Canis lupus familiaris: one gene and its partner. The protein of the gene in region 1 interacts with the protein of each later gene in a biochemical or structural test. Links are inferred from orthologs where the notes say so. Each region holds a gene or a part of one and is shown in the gene's direction. Other genes may lie near its edges.

What was found.
Region 2: the proteins of WASL (region 1) and PFN1 form a complex in vitro, tested with the Homo sapiens proteins (2 studies listed by BioGRID). The link is inferred for Canis lupus familiaris from reciprocal best matches to the Homo sapiens genes WASL and PFN1.

What each region holds. Positions count from the first base shown.
Region 1 is NC_049235.1:11,772,746-11,777,081, forward strand, and holds the start of WASL (neural Wiskott-Aldrich syndrome protein), read left to right. Parts: upstream 1-1,333; 5' UTR 1,334-1,718; coding exon 1,719-1,835; intron 1,836-4,336. UniProt on the Homo sapiens protein: Regulates actin polymerization by stimulating the actin-nucleating activity of the Arp2/3 complex. Involved in various processes, such as mitosis and cytokinesis, via its role in the regulation of actin polymerization.
Region 2 is NC_049226.1:31,873,927-31,878,393, forward strand, and holds PFN1 (profilin-1), read left to right. Parts: upstream 1-1,457; 5' UTR 1,458-1,609; coding exon 1,610-1,741; intron 1,742-3,020; coding exon 3,021-3,213; intron 3,214-3,764; coding exon 3,765-3,862; 3' UTR 3,863-4,118; downstream 4,119-4,467. UniProt on the Homo sapiens protein: Binds to actin and affects the structure of the cytoskeleton. At high concentrations, profilin prevents the polymerization of actin, whereas it enhances it at low concentrations. By binding to PIP2, it inhibits the formation of IP3 and DG.

The sequences.
Region 1 (4,336 bases):
CGAGTCCCACGTCGGGCTCCCTGCATGGAGCCTGCTTCTCCCTCTGCCTGTGTCTCTGCCTCTCTCTCTCTGTGTCTGTTATGAACAAATAAATAAAATCATAAGAAAAGAAAGAAAGAAAGAAAGAAAGAAAGAAAGAAAGAAAGAAAGAAAGAAAGAAAGAAAGAAAAAACATAATATGATAAAATAGTATTTAATATTATAAAGATAGTATTAGGAACAAATGATTGTCTCTAGATTTATAGTTTTTAAGTTTTGTAATTTTCACATAATAGTACATATATCGTCCATGCGGCATCCTATATAGCCTAAGTAGAAATTCTGCTAAGAAATTATGCCCCCAATTTACCACTATACATTTGAAGAAATACAGAGAGTTCTAAATGCTACAGTTTTTTGAAATTTCATGCTTAGATAGCACAAAGATAAAAAATACACATTTCAACTCCACTTTTGATCCTTAGCTAAGGGAAGGGAAGCAAACCATAGGCAAAGGGAAGATAAGGACTATAGAGCAAGTAATGTTTGAGTAACCACCGTCCATCAGGTATTTCACGTATGCTTTCCGGGTAAATTTTACTACTTAGAAGTAGGTTTAGTTATCTCTATACTACACCTTTATTAAATAGGAATAGAAAGATGAGAAGGTGGGGGGGGGGAGAATATTTTCCAATTTTCAAGATGGGGAAAAACGTGTTCAGGGCACTTCAGAGAAAAGAGCCTGAATTTAAATGTTCTCAATACACTCATCCCACGCAACACTCCAGGCGAGCGGTAGAAAATTCTAAGTGCGTTTGGTTTTTGTTAACATCCATCAGCAAGCTCTTTCACAACTCCGGGAGAGAGGCCTGTGTGTTCCTCTACACCCACTGCTGAAGTTTGCACAAAGTTTGAGAAACCCCCGGCACCTGCAGCTCCGACCCAGGAGCACAGGGGAGCGCGTCACTTTCCCGTCTTCGTCTCCAGATCCTTTTGACCTGCAGTAAGAACGTCCGGCTTCTGCGCCCCCCAAATAAGAGCCATTCCGGGGAAGGGGGACCTGGGGCCGCACAAACGCTTCGCCAAGGTGTGCGTCCGCAGAACTCGCGCGGGCCACTTCTGTTTTTGGCAGACGGCGGCCGCCCGGCCCAAGCCCCGCAGAAACCAGCACGGGAGCAGGGGCCCGCACGCGCGATCCCCGCCCCCGCCCACGCGCCCGCGCCCGCGCCTCGCAGCCCGCGCCCCGGCCGGAAGTGGGCGGGGCCTGGGCCGGCGCGGTGGGCCGGCCGCGGCGTGGGGGGGGGGGGCGCTTCTCCCGGGCCCGGCCCGCAGCCGCGCGTTTCCGGCGCGCTCCCCCGCGTCCTGCGTCCTGTGGTCTCGTCCGCCCCCGCAGCCATGTTGGATTGTGCTGCCGCCACCACCGCCGCTGCCGCCGCCGCCGCCGCCGCAGGAGGGTTGGAGGAGGAGTTGGGAGTTTAGCGCAGTCGCTGGAGTACGAGGTCAACGACCATCCGGCCTGGGACTCGCCGGGCGGGAGCCGGGAGCTTCCCTTTCTTTGCGCGGCCCGTCGTTGGCTCCTCCTTCCCGCGGCCTCCTCCTCCTCCTCCTCCCCGCGCCCGAGGAGCTGCGAGATGCTGCGCCTCTGATTCCCCTCCTCCCACCCCTGTCACCGAGAGGGGAGAGAGCGCTCGCCTGCTCGCCGGAGACGGCCCCGGACGCTCAGCCCCGCCGGCGAAACCATGAGCTCGGGCCAGCAGCAGCCGCCGCCGCCGCGGAGGGTCACCAACGTGGGGTCCTTGCTGCTCACCCCGCAGGAGAATGAGTCCCTCTTCACCTTCCTCGGCAAGAAATGTGTGGTCAGTGGCCGAGACCCGCGTCGCCATCCCCGACGATACCTCACGGGCCCGGGCACGAGGGCCGGGAAGCGGGAGCGGGGACGAAGGCGGGAGCGGCGCGGGGAGGGTCCGGCCGCCGCCAGGCCTCCAGCCAGCCCGGCGCGGCGGGTGCGGGCGGTGCGGGCCGGCGCCGCCGCCGCCGCCGCCCCCCGCCTCCCGAAGCTGACCGTGAGCAGGGAAGTGTCACCTCCGCAGGCCCGCCCTGGAACCCCTCCTGGCCGGGCCCAGGTCTGCGCCCTTGCTGCTGGCTCAAACTTTGCTCTCAGGCCAAGAGGAGATTTTATTCCTGCACGAGCTGCTGGATCTTAAAAACCGGGCGTCCGTACTGGCCCTTGTTTCACCTCCTGCCGCTTGATCTGGGGGTGGGGAGGAGGCTACCTTCTTTCACAATGGCAGAGGTTTCAGAAGTGGGTAGATCGGGGAATGAAGCCCGGATATGAATGAAGCGGGCCAGAATGGGGGTTTTTGATCCCCGTTTAGGCTCCCAGGAGAAAATGAAGTCGATTGCATCGGTTCAGAATGAGGGCAGGGAATGTTGCTGCCCCCCATTGCAGAGAAACAGCGTTTTTTTTTTTTTTTTTTTTTCCTCCAGCAGCCTCACCAGGCCTGGTTTCTGCTCTCCTCTCCACTGATTTTTTTTTTTTTTTTTTTTTAACCCTTCATTGGTGGGAGGAGGTGCTGCTCTCCCCACGACCATGCGCAGGAGAACCACAGTCTCTAGTAGTTCGTGGCCTTTTGGGGCCTGAGAGTGATTCTTAGGTTGGTGCTGTGCGGCCTGTTCCAACCCCAGATGGCCGGTTGGGAGCAAGCAGTTCTGCTGTGGGAAGGGGAATGTGTGTTGTTGACGGAAGCATTCATTACATTGGCTGCTGGCACTTCTGGGGGTGGGGAGGTTCTGCTCTGTGGTGTAGGCCTCGTCTGGCTGCATCTTACTGCTGTGGCTCCGTTGAACTGTAGTCGAGTTTGCTGAAATGCTGTTTGGGTCCCTGTCTCCCCTCTTTGCGTCTTAGCACCTGCATAGTATGTGCCACTGGAAACCAGGAAACCCCTACTGAAATGTCAACAGAGCAGTACCATTTTACAGCTTCTGTTGGTAGTGTTAAATATGTCAAACGAGGCTACATCTATCTGTTTAAGAAGTTAGGATAGACAATTTCTGGAAAGTTACTCTATGGGTTAATTGTTAACTTTATAGGAGTCAGCCTTTTTGTATCCTCTTGGAGATTGAATCATTACCTTCAATTCAGACGGGCCTGGTATTTTACTGATTAGAAGAATGAAATAAGAGGACTGGCTTAAAATCAAAATTTTGGGCAACAGTTTTAAAGACAACTGTCGTGTGTGTCCGTGTCCCCTCCCTCCCTCGCTTTTGAACAAATGAGAAAACTGAGCCAGTGAACCCCAAGTCACACAGCAGTTTAGTAGGTAACCAGAACTAGAAAGCCAGGACTTTGGATGCCTAGTCTGCTGTAGTTTCCACTACATCATGTTGTTTTAGAAGGGTTTTTTTTCTTACTTGTTATTGATTTATTTCAAAAAATGGTGCAAAAGGAATAATCAGTTCTTTTTTTTTTTTTTTTTCCCCACCAAAACTTGGTATAATTAGTGTGTGAGATTCTTAAAGCAGCACTAATTTTTGTATATTTTCGATTTAGGAAAATCTCCAGCTCTTTAAACTGTTACAATATCTGCAAATGAAAAAAAAATTAAAATTTTTTTGTTTTAGTTTCATTTGCTATATGATCTGTATCAGAAAGGAAATAGTTGTTTTACGTTTTACATACCAGACACATTAAGCTTAGGCAGGAAGGACATTATATTCAAACACTAGTACACTGACTAATTGCTCTATGCTTACCTGTAATGTTTACTGGTTTCAGAAAAATGAAAGATGTGAGAGAATACTGTGATTGAGAAAGATAGCCTTGCTTTCTGGTTAGCATAAGTGGATTGCTGAATAAGCCATCAGTATTCAGTGCTCAGTATCTTTATGTCATCTATTATTAATCACCTTTACCTTTTGAATTTGGCATTTCATACACTCTTGTGGTATGAAATTGTTGTGAAGATTAATATTTGAAGTCTCCAGTTACTTGAGAGTAAAGACTATTTTGTTTTGAAAAATCCTTTTTTTCTTTGCTGACTATGCCGCTTTTTGTAGTTTAAAATTATAGTGAAATACATTATCTCATTAAAAACATCAGCAATAACATTTACAAGTCGACCGGAATTTGTTAGGACAGAAGTATATTCAGAGCCCTAAGAGTTCAAGAAATGAAACAAATAGTTGCAGTCCCAGTTCTGGAGGAGCTGCATTCCTTCTTTGACTCAACAATATTGAGTAACTAAATGTTGAGGTCAAAATCAGGGTTGATGCCTACCCTCAAGGAACTTACTAGGTCTAAAAAGGGAAACAAATATGTAAACTGATGAGTAAGTGCTTCAGAGTAATGTGTAAGAGG
Region 2 (4,467 bases), on another chromosome or scaffold:
GACGGTGCTCCTAGACCAGGGCTCAGAATGAATGGCGGGGCGGGACGGGACCGGACCGGAGGGGGTGGCCCCTGCGGTCTGAGCGTCGGGTCTGGGGGCGGCGCGGGGTGCGCCCCGGCCCGGGGAGCGTGGGCACCTCGGGGCTCCGGCCCTGACCCTCCACGCCCGCCGGCTCCGGCCGCGCCCTCCCGGACTTTTCCACCCCGGGGTCGGGGGTGCGGCGGGCAGAGGTCAGCAGCCAGCGGGCGGGGAGCGCCGCCACGTGCCCGAGCGCGCCCCGCCCGAGCGGCCGGGTGACTCAGCGGCGCGGCTGTCGAGGAACGGGCTCGGGGGGCGTGGGGGCCCGGAAGCGGCCCAGACCCTCGGCAGCCCCACCTGGGCGGCCGCGGGGCCCTGCCCTTCCCTCCCTTGCCCGCGGGGCGCCCGGCGAGAGCCGCGCGCAAAGCTTCCCAGCACAAGTTTCCCCGAAAAGAAGAAGAAAGAGCCCGAGGGGCCCGAGCGGGAGGGGACTTTCCCCCTCTTGGAAAAGTTGCAAATCTGGCCACCTCCCCGTGTCCTTCCGCCCCGAGAAGTAGTCCCGCCCCTGCCTCCCGCGCCCAGTGACCTCGGCCGCGCCGGGCCAAGGGGCACGGCCGGTGACCCAAAGTGCTGGCAGCGGGGGGCGGGGACGTGGGGCTTGGGCCTGCCTGGGGGGGGGGCTGCTCCTGCACGTGTCTGTCGGGCAGATACTGGAGACACTCGTGCCCCCCCTTCCCGGTGGACGCCTTGGACTCTTGAGGGCGGCCGGGCCCATCTGTCCTCGCGACCCGGGGCTCCCGCAAGTCGTGACTGAATAAAATAGAGAGCGAGCCGCGTGCCCGCCCCTTCCGCCCCGCGGGAGACACGTCCCCGGCCCGCCCGCCTCTGGGGGGTGGGGTGCCGCCGCGCGCACCCCGCTCCCGCGCCGCGGGCCGCCGGCCCCAACCGCCCCGCGCCCTCCCGCCCTCCTGCCCGGCCCGGCGCAGGCGCGGACGCACGCGCCGCCGCCGCCGCTCCTGCCCTCCGGCAGGGGTGGGGGAGGGGCAGCCGTTCCATTTAACCCTGAGCGCCCCGCACCCCCCGCCGGCCCCGCGCGCGGCTCGCCCGTCCGCCGGCTTTCGCATCCTTTCCTCCCTCGGGCTCGCTCCCTTCCCCGGCACCACAGTCCCGTTTGTATTCAAGGCGAAGCGGAGCGGGCCCTGACCCGAACTTCCCCCTGCCACCCGCACTCCCCCCAACCACCATCACCCCACCCTCCATCCTTTTACAGAGCTTTCCACCCAACTCTGCAAATTTTGCAATAGGGGGAGGGATTTTTAAAATCGTCTTTTGCAAAGTTCGGTATCTGGGCAGGCGAGGGGGGAGGGAGGAAAGGGAGCAGGCCCCGCCCCTGCCGCCCTTTGCAAATAAAAATCTAGGGGGGGGGGAGGAGCAGGAAGTGGCGGTGCGAGGGCTGCTGCACAGCGAGCAGAGCCGCGGTCCGGACGGCAGCGCGTGCCCCGAGCTCTCCGCCGCCCCCCGCCCGCCAGCCCGAGGCCCCGAGCCCAGTCCGTGGCCCCCGCAGCAGCCCCGCAGCAGCCCCGCAGCAGCCATGGCCGGCTGGAACGCCTACATCGACAACCTCATGGCGGACGGGACCTGTCAGGACGCGGCCATCGTGGGCTATAAGGACTCGCCCTCCGTGTGGGCCGCCGTCCCCGGGAAGACCTTCGTCAACATCACGGTAGTACGGGGCCCGCGCGCCCCCGGGGCACCGGCCGGCTCGGGGCGGGGCGGGGGCGGTCGGGGCAGGGCGGCCGAGGGCCGCGACCGGGTCCTCGCCCGGAGGCGGCGGACGGCGAGCGCACTTGAACAGGCCCCCCCGAGGTCCCCGGCCCTCGCTCCGGGCGGCGGCGGCGCCCATCCCTCCCGCCGCCCCGCTCTCCGCGCCGGGGCGTTACATCCGGGGCACAGGGCGGGGAGGGGCGCGCCGCCCGGTGCGGAGGCCCACTTCCGCCTGGTCCAGGGCGGGGCGGGCAGGCGCGGCGGGTTGCGCCGGGGCCGGGCACCAGGCGGGAGCGGGGACCCCGGCCCCGCCACCATTGTTCCTCTTCGGTCTCTTCTCCCCGCCCCTCCCCGCGGGAGGCCGCCCGGCCGCCCCGGCCCCCGCCCCGCCCGGCCCCGTTACGGAGGGCGAGGCCGCCCCACGCCCCCCCAAGTCGGCGCGCCGCGCTCCCTGAGCCCCGGCCCGGAAGTCCCCTTGCCCTCCCTTCCCGCCATCCGGCAGGGCCCGGCGCGGGGGAACTTCGGGAGAAGTTGCAGGGCCGCGCGACTTGTGGAAGGAGGGATGCCTGCCGCCGTCCCCATCACCACCTCCCCTGTCCGCGCTGCCCGGAAGTGGGGAGGGGGAGCGGAAGTGCGGGAGGGGGGGAAGGGGATTTCCGGGCGGGAGGGGACCGGATGTGGGGGTTTGGGGTGTTCGGGGGAGGGGAGAGGTTCCCTGGGGTCCGTGGACCCGGGTCTGGCCGGCCGCAGTCCCGCACCGCCGTGCCAACTTGGCCAACTTTCCCGGAGGGCCCCCGGGGTCGGCTCGCTGGTCTGGGGACCGCGCCCCTGCCCTGGACTCGGCGCCCGGAGACCCAGGCGTCCGGGCCCCTCGCGGCTCCTGCAGAACCTTTGACCAAATAAGGACAAAGTTGCCTCCTGCTCCGCCCGCCCCCTCCCTTCCCCTCCACGCTTCTGCTTTTCCTGGAGGAGCGTGGTGCGCGTCCATGGGCTACCCGGCTCTGCCATGCCACTGTCCGCTCCGGCTTCGCCCCCGCCCCGTTCCCTGGGTGTGTGTTCCCCGTGGGATGACACCAACCTGGGATATGGTCTCCCCGTGTCTCAGCAGTCTCTTAGGAGTTTGTCGGTTTCCACACGTGTGCACAAAGCAGACGGCATACACCCCATGTGGGGCGCGGTGCAGGGCAGGGGGAAACCGGGGGATCCTGACGCTGACGGCCGCTGCCTTCCCCTTGCAGCCAGCTGAGGTCGGTGTCCTGGTTGGCAAAGACCGGTCGAGTTTTTTCGTGAACGGGCTGACACTGGGAGGCCAGAAGTGTTCTGTGATCCGGGACTCGCTGCTGCAGGATGGGGAGTTTACTATGGACCTTCGTACCAAGAGCAGCGGTGGAGCGCCCACTTTCAACATCACTGTCACCATGACTGCCAAGAGTGAGTTTCTGTGACCCCTGACTGCCTCCCGGCCTCCGATGTCCCCTCATGAACCTGTTAGCCTCTGGGGTTTCCTTTGTGGCTCCCCAGTACTAGGAGATCACAGGCCGCTGGGTGCTTCCTCCACTCCTCAGTTCCTCATCTCCTAATAGAACTTGAACTGCATTACCTCTTCTGTTCCTTCCTGGCCTGAGCCTTCTAGGGGGCAGAAACCCTGATTTCTGGGAAAGGGTAGACTGATGGCCAAAAGACTGGGTGTCTTCTGAACTCTGTTAGGCCTTGGGGTAATAAGCCCCACTGTGCTTATTACTCCGAGCCTGAATCCCTGGTCCCTAAATTAGTTTCACCCGTTTCACCCTCTGGAGCCCTAAGCTTGATTCCCTCTCCTGAAAAGCCCCATTGTTTCAAAGTGACTGACAGCCTGCCTGTGTGTTGGGGGGGTTGGGAGAGAGGAGGTTGGGTTACAGCCCCCAGGGCTGGACAGCTGCTCAACAGCTGGCAGGGGGTGGGTTGTGACACCTGGGTCCTAGCCTCCATTCTCTTTCCTCCAGCGCTAGTCCTGCTGATGGGCAAAGAAGGTGTCCACGGTGGTATGATCAACAAGAAATGTTATGAAATGGCTTCCCACCTGCGGCGTTCCCAGTACTGACCTCGTCTGTCCCCGCCCCCTACCACTCCCCACTGCTTTTGCACCCCTCTCCTCCCCATACACACACGTACACCATTTTTATTTTTTGGGCCATTACCCCACACCCCTTATTGCTGCCAAAACCACATGGGCTGGGGGCTGGGGCTGGATGGACAGACACCTCCCCCTACCCAAACCCCTCCTGTGTGTGGTTGGAAAACTTTTTTGTTTTTTGGTTTTTTTTTTTTTTTTTTTTTCTGAATAAAAAAGATTCTACTAACAAGGTGCTGTGTGGTTTGGCCTGGGTGTCGGGGTGGACAGTTCCCATGACCTGTCACCTCTATCTTGGCTGCGGGTTAGGGAGTCAAGGGCACTCCAAAGTCTAGGCATTTGGGCTTCTTGAGTCCTGCCCAGGGGGTAAAGCAGCACCTGCCAGAGGCCCACCTGGTCAGGTGGCACAGCCCTAGGTCTTGGTAGATAATGGAAAAGAGCTGGACCAGAGAATGGGTCCAGGCCTGCGGGCAAGGCAGGACCAGTTGAGTCATCCCTGTGTGGGTGGGGCTCCCCCTCTCTGAGTCACAGTATATGCCTGCTAGGGCTGTCCCCATGGCTACAGGTTCTCTCCC